Linked DNA regions of Lepisosteus oculatus. The protein of the gene in region 2 interacts with the protein of the main gene of each other region in a pairwise test. Links are inferred from orthologs where the notes say so. Each region holds a gene or a part of one and is shown on either strand. Other genes may lie near its edges.

The links. The genes of interacting proteins can lie anywhere in the genome.
Region 1: the proteins of sgta (region 2) and tfr1b interact in binary tests that used the Homo sapiens proteins (3 or more experiments, as listed by UniProt). The two-hybrid records come from large-scale screens. The link is inferred for Lepisosteus oculatus from reciprocal best matches to the Homo sapiens genes SGTA and TFRC.
Region 3: the proteins of sgta (region 2) and nme3 interact in binary tests that used the Homo sapiens proteins (3 or more experiments, as listed by UniProt). The two-hybrid records come from large-scale screens. The link is inferred for Lepisosteus oculatus from reciprocal best matches to the Homo sapiens genes SGTA and NME3.

Annotation. Positions count from the first base shown.
Region 1 is NC_090708.1:13,443,635-13,451,004, forward strand, and holds the start of tfr1b (transferrin receptor 1b), read left to right. Parts: upstream 1-4,352; 5' UTR 4,353-4,371; exon of another isoform or gene 4,372-4,452; intron 4,453-7,370. UniProt on the Homo sapiens protein: Cellular uptake of iron occurs via receptor-mediated endocytosis of ligand-occupied transferrin receptor into specialized endosomes. Endosomal acidification leads to iron release.
Region 2 is NC_090724.1:1,363,267-1,370,444, reverse strand, and holds the start of sgta (small glutamine-rich tetratricopeptide repeat-containing protein alpha), read left to right. Parts: upstream 1-4,178; 5' UTR 4,179-4,263; intron 4,264-4,287; exon of another isoform or gene 4,288-4,467; intron 4,468-4,527; exon of another isoform or gene 4,528-4,681; intron 4,682-6,275; 5' UTR 6,276-6,325; coding exon 6,326-6,425; intron 6,426-7,178. Other genes in the region: thop1 (thimet oligopeptidase), read right to left, coding at 1-104, 1,256-1,462, 3,600-3,612. UniProt on the Homo sapiens protein: Co-chaperone that binds misfolded and hydrophobic patches-containing client proteins in the cytosol. Mediates their targeting to the endoplasmic reticulum but also regulates their sorting to the proteasome when targeting fails.
Region 3 is NC_090714.1:4,080,017-4,088,027, reverse strand, and holds the start of nme3 (nucleoside diphosphate kinase 3), read right to left. Parts: upstream 3,019-8,011; 5' UTR 2,885-3,018; coding exon 2,839-2,884; intron 2,803-2,838; exon of another isoform or gene 2,690-2,802; intron 1,843-2,689; coding exon 1,712-1,842; intron 763-1,711; coding exon 661-762; intron 255-660; coding exon 142-254; intron 1-141. Other genes in the region: mrps34 (small ribosomal subunit protein mS34), read right to left, coding at 4,309-4,601, 5,147-5,189, 6,077-6,394; probable crossover junction endonuclease EME2, read left to right, coding at 7,921-8,011. UniProt on the Homo sapiens protein: Catalyzes the phosphorylation of ribonucleosides and deoxyribonucleoside diphosphates, other than ATP, into the corresponding triphosphates with ATP as the major phosphate donor.

The DNA of each region.
Region 1 (7,370 bases), on a different chromosome or scaffold from region 2:
CACCAGCGCACTTTGGACACGCCCCCCTGTTGTCATCCCCGTATTCCTCCATGACCTTTTTCCCCAGTGTTTCCTCACTCCATCCAGACGGATTGTGTCGTCTGCATAGGGTCTGGAAAGAACTGTTTGTGACACTGTAAAAATGTAAGGTGTTCTGCTGATGGTGGAAACATGCACTTTCAGTGGGTTATCATATTGACATTGGTTACCTTCATACTCTTAAACACTGCTGTAACATATTAAATTATAAATTGATAAAGACTGTGTAGCACCTTTATTCAGTGTTATAGCTATTACAACACCAAATAAAATCTATGCAAGTTATTCATTAAAAAACATAAAAGCCTGAGTTTAACTGAAGAGCCCAAAGTATTTTGTTTCATGTAAGTAAATATTTTTCCCCTCAAATCATTGATTTGAATTCTAAAGGTCAGGATAAAGTTAAATTAAGCAATATCAATGTTGTGGTAAATAGAACCCCACAGTTAAATATTATCTTCTTTAAACTGAAATGTGAAGCATTATGTAAGCAACAAATTGTTAAGCAAAAACAAATATAAAAATAAAATTATATTAGCAAATCACAAAGGAAATACTTTAGTAAATTGCAATGGAAATTTAACTTGGAAATACCCATTGCAGGAATTCTTGACACATTTGGGCTGAAATACCACCATAACTCTAACAATTATTTGTTAAACCTAATTTAGTCTTGTGATTTTCTGACAAAAAAGACAAAACTGACAAAAAACCTCCATGCAATTCCTGTTATCAGACTTTACAGAGGGGTTTCATATAAAAGGAGGCATTGTTTAAAGTCTTGGCTGCAGTCTTAGTACAGTCTTAGCACAATCAAAAATTGTATAATTATCAGATATGATTCTGAATATAATATTTTCAAAAACTCACACGGCTGTTAGAAGTTTGGAAATGTATTTTGTTTTTGTAAAAAAATTGGTAAAAATTGATTTTACAAAAGGGAAGATGCAAATGGCATGAAAGAAGAGATGTCATTTCTAGTGTATCATATAATTGTCCAACTAACATAAACTTCTAAAGACATGGAATATGTCATTTATAGGTATGTTTGGAAACCACCTGTGCTTTGGTTTAATTGGCACACACACACACCCTAGGGCCAATTTGCCCAGAAGCCAATTAACCTACCAGCATGTCTTTGAACTGTGGGAGGAAACTCATGCAAACAAGGAATGATTATAGATAGATAGATACTTTATAGTCTCCATACAGATAGCGCTTCAGTCTGGAATTAAACCCAGGGCCCCAGCACTGCAAGACAGCGGTGATAACTACTGTGCTACCCTACCGCACATCTTATACCAGTTCACTTCAAATCCTGTAGTCAATAAAGACCTCTTAGCTGGTTTACATTCAAAACGTTTTTATAAAGGGAAGAAACTAAGACGATTAGTGCTCTTAGGTGATCTGTTTCCTTTAAGCAATTACCGTGTAAACAATATATTTTCGGGGTTCACAAATCTCTTAAATTATCAAATTAAAATTCCAAATTAACAACGCTTTACCACACTTGTTTTCTGTGAATTGATTTCTATCTGTAACCTCAATATTAATCCTTCTCTCTGTGTGGTAGATGCCTTGGTGGTGGATTAATCCTACCACACACATAAAGATCTTGCTGGTGATCATGATAAATTCAGAACAGTATTGCAATACAGGATTGTGACAGAATAAAACTAATGAAATCTCCTATGAGACTAAACATAATCATAGAACTGCAAATATCTTTATAAAGTAACATACATTAAGAGAAAATCTTTTAAAATCAGAACAAAACCAACTATCTTTCTTATTTACACAGTAAAGAACTGGATCGATGATTTTGTTGTTCATTTACAGAAATGTGGTAAGTCATTAAATTAAATTTTGAATGAATAAGCCTTTCGGGTTTTTAAAATTTTTCCATTCCTCTAAAATTCCCACAAAGAAACTGTATTTTTTAATTTGCTATATATATATAAATAAGTCTTGAAGCTATCAAACCATGCCCTCATTAAGTAACTTCCTTATTGGCGGAAAACCAAACTTTACTTGTTGTCCTTTGTCTTTTATTGCATGTGTGGGTGATATCCATCTTTCAAAGAGAAAAGGGAAAAGGACAGAAAAGTATAGCATAGTATAAAAGTAAAGATGAACTGAATTAGTTTTTTGTGTTCTTCATTTAAGTGTTGTTCATACTGTTCAATTGTTCAATAATTTTCATTGTTCAAAATTGTTTAATGTACTGTATTTGACTGTCTTTATTATTATTATGACATAGATGAAGATCAGATCACATTTTAGGAGCCGTTCATGCAGAAATCTAGCTAATTCCAAAACACACAAACTTTTTCTCACAACTATATGTGTAAAAGCGACAATAGTAATAAACATTACCCAAGAGTCAATAAAATGTGTTGATTGGAAAATTAGAACACGCAGAGCCCATCAACCCATCAACCTTAAATTCAGGAGAAAACCCAAATTCTTCATAACAATCATCCTGAAAACTACAGTACCACAAGGTGGTCTGAGAACATCACATGTCACCTTAACCTTAACCTAAGACAAATGACCGGATTACAGCAATACATTGACCCAGATTTCTAATTGTAAATTGGACATTATTCATTGTTTCTCTAGGTTAGTTGATAAAATCCACTGAAAAACAAAATCTTGTCATTAATTCAAGCCAAAGAATAGGTACAGATGTAAAAAGGTCCCATTAACATATATTTTTAACAATTAGAGTTTTAATAATTATTTTTATCATTTGCTTTACCACCTTTTCTTAAACTACTTATACTTATAGTACAGGATATTTACATGTTGTAGGAGACTACAGCCTGCAGCCAACTCCTACAGTATGTAAGATCAAACCCCTGGACTGGTGCTGTTTTTGCAGCTGAGAGCAAATACCATTTCAAGCCAAAGCATTTCTTCTCCCATTTGAAGATAAAATGTCCTCCATGTTCATTTTCTCTGGCTTTATACGAGACACAGTATAGCTGTTGTAGGAATGGATAACATATTGTATGACATTAAAAAATACTGAGTTTGCATTCAGGGAAGAAAAGACAGTCTGTTTTTGTATGAAACCTACTGTAATTACAGGTCCATTAAGGGTTCAAGAAAGACAAAACTGCTAACTCTTGTCTGTCAAAAACCAAAGTCAACAGATAATATCAAAAAGGTTGCTGATTTGATATTCTGCTGCTTTCAACTTCAGATACCATATTTACGTTAACTGGAAAATCAGTAGAATTAGCCCAAAGGACTGTGCAGATCATGCCATTACAAACATGTGGAATTACCAGATGAGCTCTGTTTATAGAATAGTCCGTTATTTTCTATTTGAGGATTTCCAAGAGGAAACATTAATAAAAAATGCATGCACAAGTTAATGCTAATGTAAAACTGGTAACTACTGGTTTAAGTTATAGAACTACAGGGATTTAAAACACGTTTACTCTTCAGCAGGAATTACTCACCATTGATTACTGTAAGTAGCCAGTTTAAATCTTTTATTATTTTAGCTCTGAGCTGATATCATACATATCATAGAGACTGTGTACTCAAAGTAGTAGATTAACACTAGCATGTCTCCATAATAATTTAAAAGCTCTTTGGTTAATACTTTTAATAATATTTGATTACTCTTACCATTGTTCTATTCTTCACTCAATAAAAACCACTTTAATATTAGGACCAGTTGATTTAGTAATGCTAAAAAGATCAGATTCGTATTGCACATATATGGACATCAGGTTTGTATTCATATTCGTGCAGTAAAAGCAGAATTACACAGAAAAGACTCCAGGTTTATCCGTCAAAATCATTTGGGTCAGCAATGGTCACCCCGCCTTCACTTGAAAATGAAAGCCCACGTGTTATATCCTCTGTGAACGCCGTCGATTATAAACCGAACAGTTTGGGTATTTTTGTTTTGTGTGCATTTTTAATTTCAGGTTACTGTACCTTTTCGTCACTAGGAAACAAGAGCTTTGCCACCCACAACGAAAATTCTCGAAACAAACAGCGAACTGTTATGCCAATGGCTTAGTAAGTAGCTTAAACAGAACCGTAATTATCCGGACCCCAACCTGTAATCACACACACACACACAAACACGCTGAGGTCCTCACATAAACATATTTAATATTTTTTAATCCCGTCATTCTACAGTTTGGGGAAAAAGAACCGCTGAACCCGAGCCAGAGGACGCGGGTACCTCCACAACCCGAACTACAGCAGCCACCCCCACCAACGTAAAAGTAAAGTGACGTACAGTATGCGACGTTCGGCCGCTGCTCAGCGCTCATTATAAAAGGGGACAGGACTGCCGTCAAGCCGGTGAGAGCTGCAGAGCTGCACGTCTTATTCTGGGGGGTAGGGGAGGGACAAGGTAGAGAACAGTAGACGTTTCAACGTTTGGTAAGTTACTTGAGGTAGCTACGGAGATGTAAAAGGGGCTAAATCATGTTGGCTCATCTTCGGGAACCAGACGGTTTTGTTTTTTTTTTTCTCCCTCGTGGTTCAACTCGTACGGTTATGATAATGTTTAAATCATAGTTTCAGTAATTATTGTTATACGCTTAAATTCGTGCCTATTAATAGCATCCTTTGATTGCGACGCAAGACAGAAGGACATTCTGCACACTGCATAACAGCTTGGAAGCAAAAAGGTTTTCTTTTCTGTGTGCTTAAAGTGGGCGTTCGGGTGTCCTCATTCAGTCTGTGCCTGGATGCGCGATCTATTATATTTCTTGTAAGGGTTATTATTTTTGCTGATTTATCTTGTGAAGAGGTTTTTGTTCCGTCTGAAACGAGACGGTGAATATGTCACGGTGAGGAACATGCCCGGTATACGTCACTGTGGCAAAAAATAAGATACTACAGCAGTTACCTGCGGGTCCAGCTGAAATACAGGAAAAAGGAAGCTAGAGGATTTAATTTTGAAACAATTGGGATTTGTGTGGATAATGCACAGAATAGCTGGTATAACGAACATGATATATTCTCCAGTAATTCACGAGGGTACATCATACTTTCTTTCAAGCTGCAGTAAATATTGGTGCCTAAAAAAAAATGAAGTATCCGTAGCACATGGCAGGAAGTACATCGATTGACCTTGACTCTCCAGACCTACAGTAAATGAAGTGACGCTTTGAGACGTTTAATGGAGAAAAGCTTAACGCCCTGTACAGTAAAATATTAAATATAATCTTAAATATGTTTTCTTATTTAATGTTTCTTGTAGGGTAAAGACAATACAGAAAGCAGCAGCTGTAATTGGGCCTGGTGTAACACGTGTTCTTTTTTTGGCCTTAAGAGACTTCTGTCTCGTCTTTTTTCGTCTTTGAGATTAAGATTAGCGAATCGTGTTGCTTTTCGTTTTGTGCAATATTAAGGTTAACAACATTTATTAGCTGTCTGGGCAGATACAAAGGAAATATGTCCACATCACAAGGTTTTGTGAAACTGTGTGCTCTTTCTATTTGATATATAGAAAATGTATTTCTGAAACGTAATTAAATGAAGAGGGGGTCATTGTAATGGAAATGGGGCTAAGGGCTTGCTGGGGTTTGAAATGTCACCGAGGCTGGAAACAGACATAGCCGGACTTGACCATGAGGTACCTCTGATGTCCTTGAAGGCCACTGGTACATGTCCTTTCCCCTGCAGTACAGGAGGGGTGTTAGTGTAGCTCTAGTCACAACAATTGTCTTTGTATATAATAATTCACTAGATTCGCACCTTACCGATCTGAACATTAACTATATCGTGAACTAAGACACGGGGGAAAAAAGAAATCTGCTTTATACAGTATGTAACGTTTAGCTGCCAGCTTTTTTATCAGCTTTTATTTTTTTAAAGACAAGTTGGACTTTTTTATTTCCTTGTGTGAGCTGCTCCCTTCTTCAATTTTTAATTAGATTTTGAGGCTTTTTTTAAGATGTCTAATTTTAATACTTTTTTAGACATGGCAATATGTGAAGTACAAAACATTTTTATTATACATTATTTTATTATTAAGTTTAGGAAGTCTAGCTGGACTTTTGTTGTATAAATAATAAGTATTGAAAAATTACCGATACTGTACACATTTCTTAAACGTGCACTTTTACAATACTGACACTTAAGAGAAACTTTCATACGTTTCTTTAAAGTTTAAAAACTGAAAACAGATTTAAGTAAATATACTTAACACATTGGTTGCTGTGTCTCATTCTAGCTAATATTAACATTCTTTATGAGCAGATTTGTTAGGCTCTTGGATTTCTTCCATGAATAATGTGGAATCTTTGAAGTAGTGTCCCGTGTTAACTCACATGATTTGTCACAATCATGGAGCAAAAGATACAGTGGTTTTTCTTTTATGAAAGGCATTAACCTTTGACCAAAATCTCAGTCGTGTTTAAATAATCGCTCCTTTTTCAAGTTGAGCTTTCTCAAGCCCCTCTAAGAATTAAGCCAATGAAATATATAAGCTTCAATATAAATACTGTATGTAAGTATTGTCTTGTAACTTTGGAGTTAGGACAATCATCCTTCTAAATACTGGCAGGTTGTGTGATTTTTATAAAGTTATTTTTGCTCTTTTTAGTTTTAAAACCAAATATATTTTTGCTGTAAGATGTGCATGTTTGATAAATGCAGAAATAATCAATTGTTTTATGTCTCTTGGATATAAGAGATTTTTCTAGATGACATTTTTGAGTATTTACAATAAGTATGCTTGGGTTCTTTTCTTATTTCCTGCTTCAGTTTTCCTGATCCATTAAGTAACACTCTTGACTGCTTTCCTGAACTTTACTGCTGCATGTAACAAGAAACTGAGAAAAAATCAGATTTGCCGGGTCTCTCATCTGTGTCCGACACGATAAAAAAAATGCAGTTCCCTCCTGATCGTGCCTGTTGAGAGGGAAATTGATCAAGGACGTGCCGGTATCCCTTACTGGTGTTTAAATATAGTAGTACTCTGCAGTGCTTTTGTGTTCCATACTCCTTTTATTGTGAGGCTGAAGCCATCTCATGCTTGGCAGAATGGACTTCTAAATGTCTGCACCATGGGTTCGTTATGTAATATTAAAAGGCAGAAGGATGTTGTAGTTCCTTATTAATAATTTCCTTAAATGCACAGACGTGCTGGACTCGTTAAGATTGTAGGCTGGGTTCCTAAAGAGCTTTAGTGTATGGGGGATCATCTTGCAGCATGACCCTTGTGCATGCACATCTGGTTTAACAGAAAGGTTCCTCTTGCCTGCTTTTATAATGAATATTGTGATAAGGGTCTGGCCTTGAGCAGTTCTGAAACCTTGAATGATAAGGCTACTCATTTTCTAATGCAA
Region 2 (7,178 bases):
CTCCACGTCGAACTCCGACAGCTTCTTGTCGGCCTCGGTACTGGCCTCCCGCACCTCCTTGTTGGAGGACACATGCTGGGGGAAGTCAAGCACGTTCCTCTGCACTGAAAAAGAAACAGGTTACACGTTCAATCCTTAGGACACCACCTTCAGGCTAATTGGACAAATAAAGACTTCATGCATAATAAACCACAAAGGAACAAGTAAAGGTTTATTTGAAAAGAGAAGATAGGAAACACGTTTTGGCTGTGGAGTGTTTCGTTTCCTGTCTTCTCTTTTCAGCAGGAATAACCTAACAAAAAAGGGGAATGTCAGCACTCGGACAAAGGAGATTCTCCCCCCCCCCCCCCAACAACAGATTTACGCCAGGCCTCCAAACAATCAAAACCTCAGAAAAAAATGTATATACTTCCCAGTTCCTTTAACAATACCTATATACAATTTGTTGTCAAACACAGGCAAAGTGTCAGCTACTCTTTATGTAGAAAATGCTGAGCACTCTATACCATTGCCTGCTGCATTCCTGCCAGCTCAGGCCTTTAACAAAGGCTCTGTAGTGGCCTGTGTGTTAAGTGATGTTGCTGTGGGCTTATCTGGACTTATCTGCTTATGCAAACGAGCGTTTTTATTTTAGTCAAGTAAAGTCGCTAAAGAAATCTGCAAACAGATTTTAGAAATCTGATGCCATTTATCCCTTTTACTGACATTTATGACTTCAGTGCTTGTAATTACTGCATGTCATGACAGCATACATTTAATACACTTTAAAACAGTCATGGGCAGGAAACTAACCTACTTCAGCAAGACGTAGTTGGTTTTTCTCAGCACTTGTAAGAGTGAAGGTATTTTTAAGGAATTTTATACCAAATGGCATGAGATTTGTTTACTCCTTTTAGGTTGTTCAGATCCTAGGTCATCATCTGTTCCTTCTGTTTAGATTCACGTGAGGAACCTTCAAGAGTTAACAACACCAGCTTACAATTCCCTTTCCAAATCCCTTATCCGGATATCCTGGTATCTGGACCTGGAGTGAGCACACAGCTTTAGAGACACACGGATTTTCATTTTTAAAGACCAATTAGTGGCCTAACTGAATCCGTTATTGGCTCAGGGAGGCATGATTCCAACTGTTTCTCGAAACCGGCCGAAGCGTGGCTCTCCAGGACCGAAGAGGTGAGCTCACGTTCTGATCGGAAAACCAGCCCACGTGTCCGTGTGCCGCCACGAGCGGAAACGCAGCAGGACGCGTCCTTACCTGTGTACTCCACCTCCACGTCGGCCAGCGCTTTCAGGGCGTTGTCGTAGGTGACGGCCTCCAGCTCCAGAGCCCCCACGGCGTCGTACACGCGCTTGGTCCTCTCGATCAGCTCGTCGGCCAGCTGCCGGATCTGCTCGGGGCTCAGGTCCCAGCGCAGGCGGTTCTCGGCGCAGACCCGCGGGGCGCTGGCGATCACGACCTCACCTGCCGAGGGGGCGGGGGATGGGTCAGGCCCTGCACCGCGCTGGCTAACGCCGGGTCAGGACAACGTCAGGGCAGCAGGACGCTTGCGGACAGGGGCACTGGGGGGGGTTACAGTGTTTCCCCTTCTTGCCTACCAGCTGTGACAAAACAATTCGCTCCGGCTAGGCGGAGCAGAGCAGTGTACCGGCGTGGTCCTCGCTTCAAGAAGTATTTCAGACTCCTGACTGTCATGGTTGTTTCTTGGGCTCGGATACGTCCGAACATGTGCTCGATGATAAACTCTTGCTCCCCCACTCTTCTGCAGCCAAATAGACAGTGCACCAGTAATCATCCCGTGTCTTTTGATAACCTGCTGATGTGTTTTATTTGTACAGTAAAATGCTGAAACCTGCACAACTGTACCTTTGTCTGATGGACTCCGGGTTTATTATGGGGGCATGGTGTGTCACCTTTGATATGACCTTTGACCTGTTCCAACAGAACAGTTACAAACTCCAACTGCAGCTGCTTAGAATGATGAGTACTGTTCACAGCACTAGCGTGTGTGTGGCTACTGCAGGGCAAGAAAACCACTTCTGGATGGGCTAAATGGGCAAAGGCTGTGGCCCCCAATGACAAAAATCGCACGAGACAAAATTTAAAAGCACACAACACAACTCCTTTTTATGCAGAAAAAAATATTAAAACTTTCAGGAAATTCTGGAAAACAAAACAATTAAAGCTGTGGCACTGAAATTGTACAGGGTGACATGCAGTGGCTCATGTCTGCGATGTGCTCCTGATCCATGATGCTTACCAGAAATGAAGAAGTGTGACGTGGGTAATGTAGCCAATCAATCCTCACCAAACCAAACAGCCCTGAAGTTGTGTGAGATGCTGAAGTCTACAGGTTGGCTAACAACCCGTCATCTCTTTTGTGAGACAACGTTAAAACACGATTGCTAAATGTTTTGTTCACAAGCTCAGGCTACTGGAGAACCATATTTAACCATCAACAGTAGCTTAAATTAAACTTTTCTTAGTGCCAGGAGAGGTTTACAGAGGGCACTCCAAAAGCCCAATGATAACCACCCACAGCACATGTCCCTTTGTGTGACCGGAGAGGAATATGCTGACTGACTGACACCCAGAGAAATTCCTTTCAAAACAAAGAACATGCCTGAACTCTCTTAGAGGGACATTATACAGGTGGTGTTTTTAACTGTTCAAAATAACACTTATTAATTATTATCTGTTTTTGCAATTATGGAAAATGTTTAATAGTTTCAAACACTACATAAGCAAACGGAGTTTCAGATCTACTGAATGTCAGTTTTTCGAGTAACTCCTTTCTGGATATAATTTTGTTATACTGTACTGTAGTGCAGGTGGCTACAGAAAAAGACGTGACTGATGCAATTGAATATATGGGTCCCTTTTTTGCAAGACAATCTGTGTAGAGCTTCTTCGTAGCTTAGGTTAGGAGTGTCACCTAAATCACCACTCTTAAATCACGTCCACCTGACACTGACAGATACACTGACACAGTGACATCCGCGAAAAGATTACTCGAGCCGACGATTAGGGGGGCAAGCGAGTTTCATCCACGACCACGGACTGAAGTTTTGGGAAATTCTTCTTTCAAAACAAATCCACCTCGAAAAGAAGGAAATCTACCAACTACTCGAACCTATAGCTTGCCTCCTCAAGTTGACTCCCGTGTTACTCCTGTAATCAAATACCTAAACGCGATTCCCACTTATCTGCTCGGGAGAGCGGGGAGCTGGGACTGCCCGCAGTGAAACTCGTGTAAACAGACTGTGTCTGGGAGGGGTGCCCTCAAGTTCACGACTGCACTTTGCGAGAGCAAATGATTGAGCACGTTATCCCAGCTAGACACACGCCGCCTTTGCCGGACTTTTCAGTGGAAAATATTGAAGTTATTTGAAGAAAAACTGCACTCCATAAAAAAAAATACATTTTAACGTTTTAATTACGTAACCCCCCGTAAAGTAACATAGTACGGTCCGATTTCTGAGCAGCACCCAGTATACAAAAAGCAATTCATCTTGCAAATGAGAGGAGCTCATCAAAGAAATTTAAACTGTGGGTACTTATGGGGACGTAGGTTGACAAAAAAAAAGGTTTAATAACTCACCTGTCGGGGCCATAGTACACAAGGATGAAGTAAATTCGCCCTGCAAATACTCTGCTGAAGAGCTCCGGGTCAGAATGGTGTCTGCTCACACTGAACCACGCTACTACCGGGCTGAGCAGCAGAAACTCGGTGGTTGGCTGGCCATCCTGTCAATCACTCGTTCCCCTGGAAACCGGCGGTCGCTTCCGCTTCGGGGGGCGTTGTTTTATTAACGGTACTTCCGTCCCAGACTCCTGACTGTCCCGTCTGTTGAATTAATTTCACAACAGTGCGGCGGGTCGCCCTGAGCCTCGGTTGCAGGTTACGGCAAACAAAAATAACAGCACACGTCAGCGGCGACTCTGAATGGTCGACCCCGATGGCCTCTGTTTCGCGATTCCACGGCAAAGGCACTTTAACTGTTGTGGGACAAGGTGAAAAAAAATACCCAGCGAAATCAATAAAGAAACTAAAACATAATTAAAAACTAGCAATTATTTAATACAGTCACACACCCGCGCCACATGCTTTCTGTTTTTTGTTTTGCCGAAAACATCTATTTGTTCGAATATAATCGTTCTGGGGGGGGGGGGGGTGTAGGCACGTCCGACGCGTGACGTCAGAGGACGCAGACGGCCGTCACGCAGCGCAGCGCGAGGAAACTGCGGAGAGCCGGAACCGGGAGGTGAGACCCAACTTTTCTTGCTGCCGTTTTCATTAAAACCCGCACGGTAAACGCCGTTGCCCCGAGCGGGGCAGCCCCCCCCTCCCTCCGGCAGACAGCGATCGCAGGGGCTCTGGGGGCACCTTGCAGAAAGGGGGTTGGTAGCGGCGGCGTCATCAGCGAAGCGGCCAGTTTTGCTGTACGCTGCGTTGTCCCAGATTTACGGTAAGGCCGCACGGAGGAGCGGCGGCAGTGCTGGAATCTTCTGTTTGACAAAACTCACAGCCGGCCGAGGTTTGGTCAGACAGGTGGGAAGGACGGCGTCTCTGGTTCGGCTAGATCATCAGACCGCCCGGTCGGATTCACTCGGCACAAGCGCGTAGTCTCCTCTGATCGCTCGCTCGGCGCCGGGCAGAACTCTTTCATCGATTAAAAAAAAGTACGGATTTAAAGAACTGGGCAGACTGACAACTGCGGTCGCCGGGGACTTGTTGAGAATTTGTCTGTTCTGTAGTTTTACGAGACAGTTTTCGTACAGCAGTAGTCTCATATGATGCACAGGTTCGGGGACACAGATCTGCAGAATTGGGAGTCAAGAGCGGCCTTACTGAGTGTACTCAGTGTAGGTTTGGGTCAGTATTCAGTGTTTGAAGTTGCTTCACAGGGTGCGGTTACGATTAATCAATAGTAAAGTTAATTATGCCATTTTCAAGTGCAGTGTATTATAATCCAGCCACAGGCTGTCTGTGTGTACTAGGTACGTGAAAGCTTGGGACGACCTATTAGATCAGCTCAGCGCGTACACGTTCACCTACCGTGACATAACACGTGAGTCACCTTTTTCCGGAACATGCCAGATCCGAAAAGCAAAAGTAGGTTGCTGGTATGAAGGTCCCCAAATAAAACACGTTACTTCGTGTATTGCTACGTCCAGTGCAAGCTATTGATAAAAAGAAATTCATTTTCGCCAGCAGTGTGAATAGTCTGCCATTTTATTTCATACGCATATTAGGAGGATTTACATAAGGAATGTTAGTGCGAGCTGCCGTGCTTTGCTGCTGACGATCCACAGCTGCTCCGTCGTGGTCTTCATTTCTAGACGCGAGAGCAGGCCTGTTCTTGAAGGGTGGGGGGGTCACTCTGAGCCACAGTTCTGGTCTCCTGAACCTGGCCCGGGCTGGTTTGCTCCTTGTTTACTCATGCTCCCATTCATCTGCGAGGAACTGTGCTGTTTCTGGAGGAGTTAATTGGATAATATCAACTCCAGAATAAGCGGTCGCGCACAAAATGTGCATAGCACGGTATGCGTCAATAGACAAAAAAAAATTGTAATGCAAATGATAAAGTTGGTGTGTGGTAACGCCAAGTCAATGCCCTGTTTATTTTAAAGGCTCTTTGTTTTTGTACAATTTGCAGCACGGCTGGCTTGCACATAGGCACCAAGCATCTGCAGCATACTCCTCCTGCTGGTCGTTATTTTTAACCTGATAACTGATGACCTGTCCCCACTGAATATCACTTTCTACACTGGATCGGGTGCTTTAAGTGAGAGTGGGGAGGCTTCCCATTTAATCAAATAGTGTAATGCAGAAGTTAATGGATTCAGTTTCTCCAGAAGAATGTGGGGTTGTAATACCTTATTGCAAGTTTAGGAATCACCTTAGAGTCCAACAGCAGTAGCTAAATGAAGAGCAGTAGTAATCTTTATATTTAGACTTGCTTCTTTTTGTGTGCGTATTTATCAAATGGTGCCACAACCATAATGACTGAGACACCTGTTAATTGGAAAGAGTGGAGCAGTGGAGTTGATTGAGCTCACAGGGCTATTGGCACATGAAAGACAGATCTGTAAGAGAACTGAGAGAGCAAGACTTCTCCATTTATCACAGGGGTAACCTCCTGAGCTGTGCAGGTGTCCTTGATACAGCTGGGTCAGTTGATGCTCTCTGGGTTATCTGCCTTCCTAAAAACACTCATTGGGGACTTGAAGCCCTATTCTTCTCAAACGTTTAAACATGACCGTTCCTTTCCAGAATCTCCAGAAACCTTACCTACTGCCCCAGCCTACCCCCTCAGCTACCAAATGGCAGACACAAAGCGTATCGCATTCTCCATCATTCAGTTTCTCCATGACCAGCTCAACTCGGGGGACTTATCTTCAGATGCACAGGAAAGCCTGGAAGGTAAGACGACAATTTCATAAACCGGTACTGACATTCAGTTTTCATTTTAGGCTGTAGCAGAATTTTAGTGACCTTTGCTTACAGCAGCACATTCCCAGTGGAAATGGCAATAAGTGCAATAATTACTTTGCAATAAGTAGACATCAATAGCCAGCACTGTTTTCAGCATTACAGGACAGTGCCCTCCTCTGTGCTGAATCTGCTTTCACTGGGAGCCTTTTGCTCCTGGGCTCTTGTGAGTGCTGGTGGAGACGAGGCTGTCACAGACAGGTGTTTTCAGTTCTGGTTACAGTGTGAGAAGGTGCCACTTGGGGGTGGCACATGATTGGCCATGCCAAGAGAAGCTGGGACAGGGTCACACGTGACAGGTGTCATCTCCACTTTGGATTGTAACTCGTCCTGCTGTACAGACTACCCTAGTCCAGGAGAGCCCCGGTCCAGCCAGACTTACAAACTGTCTCTGGCGTTTGGAAACAGTACCTGTAAATTATTAATGACTTAAGCTAGTGATTGCTTCAATTTAAAATACTCTGGCCCTCGGGGCTGGAGGACACTCACATTTCATCCCAAATGATTGTTAAATAATTTGACAAATAGCCTACTTAACTGATTGCCATTTAATTGTTCATACTCTTTTGAAATTGGTGGTTTAAGATTGAGCTGTAAAATGTACTGGTTTGAGGCTCTCCAGGAGCAGGATTGCAATTGATCGCCTGCAATTGAGTTTTACGTAAAATACAGCTGCACTCTTTT
Region 3 (8,011 bases), on a different chromosome or scaffold from region 2:
AGAAAACGGATCGACTGATAATTAGCAGGAACAAAGCAGCAAACATGGAGCCGGCTACATTAGAGTAGCGCAGTGGTTCTGACTGAAGGAAGGCGGCAGGCTGGGCAGGCCAGGAAGTCCCCGAGCCCTCCTCAGTCGTACCTGCCCACTTCCACGCAGTAGTCCCCTCTGATGGTGCCAGGGAGGGAGTCCGCAGGGTTGGTCTCGCCCAGCATTTTGCGAGCCGTCTTCACCACGTCCAGCCCCTGCCACACCTCCACACAGACACAGGGAGGAATCAGACAGACTCGGAGGCAGGAGAGCCCCCCCGCGGCCCACAGACCACCACCGGCATCTTTCCCGGAAAATCATTTCAGCGATTCAAGACCTGCTACCCCTTTAAACAACAGCGCAAGAATGCTGGACATCCTTCTGACGCTTTGCAATGATTCCTTCAACTCCCCCTACTTTCGCCACTATTAAGTAGTGAAATTTTACGGCTGCTCAGAAAGCAATCAAGCAGAGCAGGTAAATAGGGGCCCTTTCGGCTTCCTTGACCACTCGTTCTTCTTAACAGTCCAATGAAAAATGGTGGAAATCAACAACAAACCAAATGACTAGAAGACTACGGAAAAGGAATACCAATCACGGGAATGCTTGCGTTCTGTGAATCCCGCTCACCATGGCGACGACAGGTCCGGAGCTCATGTAGCGGATCAGCCCCCTGAAGAACGGCTTCTCCCTCAGGTCCCTGTAGTGCTCCTTCAGCAGGCTCTCTGAGGCCTGTGTTGGGACAGAGCGGAGACACATTAGCCCCTCCATCTGCATGGGTGAAACAACATCCCCCCACCACCCACAACAGCAGGGGGGCGATGGGATTCGAGGACAAAAGTGCCTCATAAATTCCATTTACTCCCTCTCATAAGCATAGGCCATGCAAAACACATATGATAAATCTGAGATTTTGTTTTTTTTTAAAGTGTCCAAAATTGCAGGTACCGACCCCCGATAGTTCAGTGGGTGGTGTTCACGTCTCAGCTCACAGATACAGACCCTGCGGCTGCACACGGGGGAGGATGAGGGAGTGGGAGGCACACTCCTCCGACTCGCCCACCTTCCAGCCAATCAATCGTCTTTTAACATGTCACCGATAAGCTGGAGGGTCAGCGCTGATTGGAGGAAAGGTGCGTCCCTCACAGACCTGTCTGCAAGCGCAATAGGAGGCCACAGGAGGCCACAGGGGGTGCCATGAGCCGAGAGCCTAGGCTGAATATTGTCACCCTGCCTTTAAGGTGTGACTGCCCGGAGAATCACAGTCCCGTTCGGCTAGCGACGTGATGCACTTGAATGCACACCCCTGCTACTCGAGAGACCCCAGTAGCTGTGTATACTTGTGTTGGCCTGCCCGAGTCCGTGACCCTCACTCCCACTCCCTGTTAAGCCTCCTCTGGTGCTCCTTCTACCCATGCGTCCAATCTGAAATCCCCATGGCAGTTGCAATCATGAAGTACCAAGATCAGGGATCACATGCCCGGCGGCCCAGTCCTGCTTGAGAGGTTTTTCTGGGTTTCCTTCAAAGCAGAAGTGGTTGAATGGGTCCAGTCAAGCCCATCACGAGCTGATTGAGCTCACTCAGAGGCGGGTCGCGGTGAGAGCGGCAGACACACGGCTCCTTCAGCGGTGGAGGGTGTGCACAGCGCCGCCCGGGTGACAGGCGGGAGGGCAGTCTTACCTGCACCAGCTTCAGCCCCACCAGCCGGAAGCCCTTCTGCTCAAACCGGCGGGTGATCTCGCCCACCAGGCGGCGCTGCACCCCGTCGGGCTTCACGGCGACGAAGGTGCGCTCGTTAATGCCCGCCCAGGCTGCAGAGATAACACAGGTCAGCCGCCGCACACGCAGGCAGCTCGCGGGCCTCCGAGACCCTGCCGGCACCCAGCGCTGGACTGGGATTCAGACTAGCCCTGTTCTGGAGGCGAGAAACTGTGCAGAACTCATCTCCGGGCTTTGGGTTGGCGTGCTGTCTGCTGTCCTCGGGATAGAGGATCCAACCCGCAGGATTCACCTCTCGGGATTCTCAGATCCACTCCTACAAACCTTTACTTATTGGCACAACAGTTCAGACGTACTGTATATGTAGAGCAGCAAATGTTTGGGGATTTTGTTTCATGTGTGCTTAAAGGTGATAACAGAATGCAGGTGCCATAAAGGCTTATCGGAGAACACTACAGCTGAGCAGAACATCAGCAAGTAGCACAAGCAGAAACTTCATTTCTGCTTGAAGGGCCAGAGGTCACAAGTGTGAAGCATTGGAAAGCAACAAAAAAAAAACGCACATCTGTTGCCAAACGTTTGCATCAGCTAGCATTAAAATGCACAAAGGCGTGTACACCGCATTTGTCTAGGCCTCTATTGTCCTGAATGTACGCGCTATTTTCCACTGTTCATTATAGACGCGGTTATGTTACATGAAATGCTTGAAATGCACATGACTGGTTTCAAAGGCTGCCTACCCAGATAACCAGTTTTACTTCATTTGCAATGCCGATATGACACTTGGGTTTACAACGCTAAAAAAGCCTACACAAAGGATAGCTATATGCATGCTCCAGGAGTGCACATTTAAGCGCAATCTGCTCAGACGAGTTTTCGATAGGATTATTAGATAGCTCAGACCGTTATAAAACGTCAGAAAACTGGAAAATACTGTACCTGCGTGCAGCCACTATCCCTATAGCGTATTTCGAAAAGGATGAACTTGGGACTGTTCGAATCCGGAAGGATAACGTCATTCCCACCACCAAATTTAAAAACTAACACTCAACGAAAATCACTTATCGTGACACTAAAATTGTGCTTACCGGTCTGAAAGATGTTTGCAAATATGGTTAAAACGAGACAAATCATTATTGCATCAGAAACCACAGGCGTCCTCCCAAAAAAACTCACACACCGGCCACACCAGACAGTGAGAGCGCCGCGGGTGCCCGAGCGCGTTCCCTAAACCTCCGGGCTCAATCACGCGAGCACGAGGAAATGCTGGTGAAGAGGCGAGCACGTCGTCGACGTCAGAGTTTCTGTTAAGGGCGTAGACTGCATATAGCTACACTGTAAAATATTTAAAGAAATATGTTTACATTATGCCCTTTGATTTCCCCAAAGTAAGACTTTCTAGAGCTTGAAAATGCCCTGGACTTTGTAACTCATGCTAATTAATAAATATCATCCTCCTGTTGCCTTAAGATATGGTTTGCAATATAATAATAATTACTACCACTAAGCATGTTAAATATTTCTAAATACCAGAATTGTCACTATTTACAACCATTAACAAAATTCATCGAGGAATAACGATTTGTAAAGTGCATTTTTTTCCCACTTAGGGAACATTCAAATTGTATTAGGCAAAAAGATTTGTGCATATTTACTTACTGTATGTGTTCTCGATAAGGAAAGCCAGTATGAAATGATCAAAATGAGAACTAAGATTGAACTGAAATGATTCCCCATTTGAAATGTTTATTTAGAGGAAGTGAAGCTGTCACAGTGTGACAGCAAACTGTCAGTAATTGAAGGTTTAACACCCACTATCTAAGGTAAAAAACAAAACCGCTTTAGACGAATGTTTTATTTCCGCTGTTTTTTATAATCAACTGCCGCTCTGCTTAAGTCTGTCACAAAACACATCACACAGACACAATCCACACAAATTTAATCACAAAACAATTGCAGTGAGGTTTACAGTGGCAGTAATGATATTACAAACCACATGTACATATGCCCTCTTCTTCGAATGAGATAGTTTATAGAACATTTACTCCTACTGGAAACTGAGAGCTCCACTGAGTGAACCAAGGTACAGTGCTGTAGTGCTCAGATGTTAAGAAACCTAGGAAAACAGTCATTGTCAACAAGTAACAGCTAAGACGCTGTACAGGTACTGCACATAGTAAGAGAGGAAAGAGGGCAGAGAGACTCATCTCAACTTTTTGCAGACTTTGCACCAATTGGCATGGCAGAGCCGTGTGTGGGAACAGAGAAACAACACAAGTGAAAAAAAGAGGAGGACTTTGAATGCACATCCATACTTGAGAGGTTACAGCAGGGAGCTGCATCAGGGTATGATCTGCAAAGGGACCAGCAGGGGTTAAACCCAGTGCAACGTGCTCTTTAATCAATGCATTGCAGTGCAGTGTGGATGGTTAACTGAACACAACGGCCTCTGCTCAGCGGGGTTCCCCCGTGTGCATTTAACCGTGAATGCCGTTCAGTCACTTCTCCACCCCTGCAGAGGTCAGAGGTCAGAGGTCAGAGGCCAGAGGCCAGAGGCGTCACACGGGGGTTCCCTCCTGGCGCTGCTGACTCTCCAGCTGTCTGAAGTAATCCTTGGTGAAGTGGACTTTCCTGTGCAGGTCGATGAGGGGCTCCTCGCCCGTCGGCCGGCCCTCCTTCTCTCTCTGCGCCATGATCATGGCCCGCAGGAGAGGTGGGTACAGCACGTATCGCTCGCGGGGGTCCGGCGCGGGCGTGAAGCGCTTAAACTCCTCTTCCTCGTGTTTGGGCACCAGACGCCAGTCGTGGTACATCACTTTGTCTATCTCTTTCACTTTCTCCTCCGTCTTCCCTACAGAGGAAAATAACAGAACGCACACTCTGAATGTAAAACGAAGCAGAATGCAGTATCACTGCCCACCACCTCCACAGGGCACAAGTGAGGCTTCCTGATGTTGCGATATTCCTCTCACATCGCATTCAGCTCTGGAAGGTAAAAGTTCTGTTTTACAGCTCTTGCTCTTAAGAATCCATTTCTAAGCATGCCAGCTATGCCTCTTAAACTTGAAATTTGTTAGATCAATTTTGTGACGAAAACCTGGAAATACTGTAGCCATCAAGAATCAGAATTGATCTCTCACTCCATCCTGACTAAAACAAAATTACTTATTCAAGTGCAAAAACCAGGTCACCACTGACCTCAGGATTAACTCTACCAAACAGATAAAATGAGGTGCCTGATTTCGAAGAGTCTTGTCGGCAACTTGTCAAATATCCCCTTTGCACACGCATTGCGCTTAATAAGCTACCTGTACCTCTATTCTAACCAAGGCATGGACAGGTTATGAGTAGAAATCACTGCAGGTAAAAAAAGAACCACAGAAGAAGTAAACTTACCTTTAAAGGTCAGAATGCCCCATGCCTTTCCATGGTCCATATTCTGTGTTGTTTGAAAAGGAGAGAAATATTATACATCCTATTAAATAATATGTTCTGTTTATTATATTAGTTAATAATAGCTCTTTGATGGGACAGAAGTTACAGGACCAGTGAGACCCCCGATGACTCCCAAGTTACGAACGTTCTTCAGGATGCACAGCCTTTGCTGACTGAAGTTAACTGAAGCGAAACCATCTTTCTGAGATGCCCTCGCCAAATGCAATTATTTGTTTGCAATACGAATTTACAGAGTTCTTTTCATGCTCAATAACGGGGCCTGGTTGCATTCTCTAATTTTCTATCTTATCTATCTATTTCTTTCAATCTTAGGTTCTCCCGTGCAGTTCTGGTACAATATTTGTTTTTAAAAAGCCTATCATCTGTCCTGGTTCATACATTTCCCCCAAGTCACAAGCTGCTGATGACTTAATAATAATAATAATAATAATAATAATTGCTTACACTTATATAGCGCTTTTCTGGACACTCCACTCAAAGCGCTTTACAGGTAATGGGGACTCCCCTCCACCACCACCAATGTGCAGCATCCACCCGGATGATGCGACGGCAGCCATAGTGCGCCAGAACGCTCACCACACATCAGCTATCAGTGGGGAGGAGAGCAGAGTAATGTAGCCAATTCATAGAGGGGGATTATTAGGAGGCCATGATTAGTAAGGGCCAATTGGAAATTTGGCCAGGACACCGTTAAAAACCAGGGCGTCATAGCTCATGAGGACTAGACCTGGGAGCATTACATTAAACACCTGAACAGTAAAATTAAACATCAGTGCTCTATCGCTGCCTACACTGTACTCCGTGGTATTTACGCAAAACAAAATCTACTTGTGTCAGCGGTGGGATCGCTGTCTGTCACCCATTACCGACCTCAGCGGTGTAGTCCACCTTGACCTTGGTGACCTGCCAGTAGCAGGGCTCCTGGTGCTCACTCAGCCAGGACTTCCGGGTGAACAGACGCCCTATGCCGAACAACCTCAGGCCGGACAGCAGGGAGAAGAGGCGGGTCTCGCGCCGCACGTCCTCCCAGGCCAGCACTGGCAGCTGCTTGCCCGTGTAAGGCCGCGTCATGGTCTTGTAATCGAGGGCGTAGCGCTGGGAGTCCCGCGGCCTCTCCTTCAGCGCTCGGTACTCCCGGATCTTCCGGGCCATCTCGGCGATTGGCCTCAAGCGTTTCTTCCGTGTCATCCTGAAACAAAACCCACCAGCATTACGGTGGAGCGGCTCGGGGTGTTGTGGAACAGTGGAAAACATGACCTAAAAATGCATGATCCCATTCGGATCGTTTAAACAGACCTTCTGTAGCACTCAGAAGGAGTAATGCATTCGAACAGCACTCGCTTCTGTCTGAGAAAACCATTCTGCACTCAAAGCCAAGCCCAGTTCATTATGTCTGGATGACTTCCTGATGGATTTAACCAATTCATATATCTCCTGTACCTGTCCCATGGATTATAGCTACTTGTATGTGTGGAAGCTCATCAACTGATTCCAGAGTGGCACAATTTCAGAAAAAATGCACTCTGGACTCCTACTGAGCGTTGTTGTTGCTAGCTGTGCACCGGTGACAGCACCGACCAAGCCATCAACAGACTCGCCACGACACTGAAGTGCTCTTCTAATGAAAAGAGTGGGACAAGCCAAACACGACGTCTGGACCTGGCATTAAGGGGTATTTAAACAGAAAACACGTGTGATCTAATTCCAAGTCAGAGGGATTTTCAGTGCTCGTTAGACCTGCATTGGAAACGAGAGATCACAAACCGGCTGTTCAAAGTCACTTCTAAATCACGTTTAACTCGTTTTTTTTTTCGTTTGACCTTTTTACATTTTGTCAGACACTATTCAGTTATATGAATACATTTATGCAAAAAACACGTGGGAAAAGCAGTGTGGTGTAAGAATGTTCTCGGGTTATTTTTCAAAACGTCATCTACCCCTCATCTCCCTTCTCACAAGCACTTAATAAACAATGCTTTTGTTAAGGTATACGAAATTCTATAACCCGTATTCATTATAATTTTTTTAACGTTTAAGAATAACAGCATATAATTTTCAGCAATGAAAGACACCTCTAACCTTTTTTTCTGCAGTTAACCTCAGCCACAACGTAACTTCCTTTGACCGTTCCAGCACCCAATTTCTTCCGTCAACGTTTACATTTCGTAACATGGTTCCGACTGGAGCGCTATCATGTGAATTGGTGGAGACATCGGAGGGCTTTGTCTCGTATTCAAAACAGCAGTTCAGCACAATATTTAGAAAAAAAAGTGTTTAATGTCATTTGTGGTGAAGTCGCAGTTTTCAGCACTGAGACCACAGAGATCAAGCCCTAGTATCCTGGTATCGTCTAGGTTAATGAGTATTTTAAACGCTGTAAATGGTTTAAATGTTTAAGTGGTGTACCGTATGTGTGCACTTACCAACACGAATCGTGGTTTACTTCAGTTATATTTGAAGAGACATCGATACTGGCATACGATTATATATACACCTGTGTATAACAACTTTAAAGTGCATTTGAACAGCCTCCCGTGATTCGGAACAAATGCGTATTTTTAAACCTAATTTAAAATAGATATTTGCACAAACACATTTGCTAAAAGAACAATAAAAATATCGAGGACTGTATGAAATGCTAGTCTAGCAGCTTTTAATAGCCATTTTAAACGTGAAAGCAGCATAGTTCAGAAAAAAATGCCGAGGTTAAAAACATGTCCCTACTTTTGAAGAGGGCGAAGACCTGGGAAATATCGGAGTCTGAAGCTGAAAGCGACTCGGAGACCCAGGGCCGGCGTACGTGCG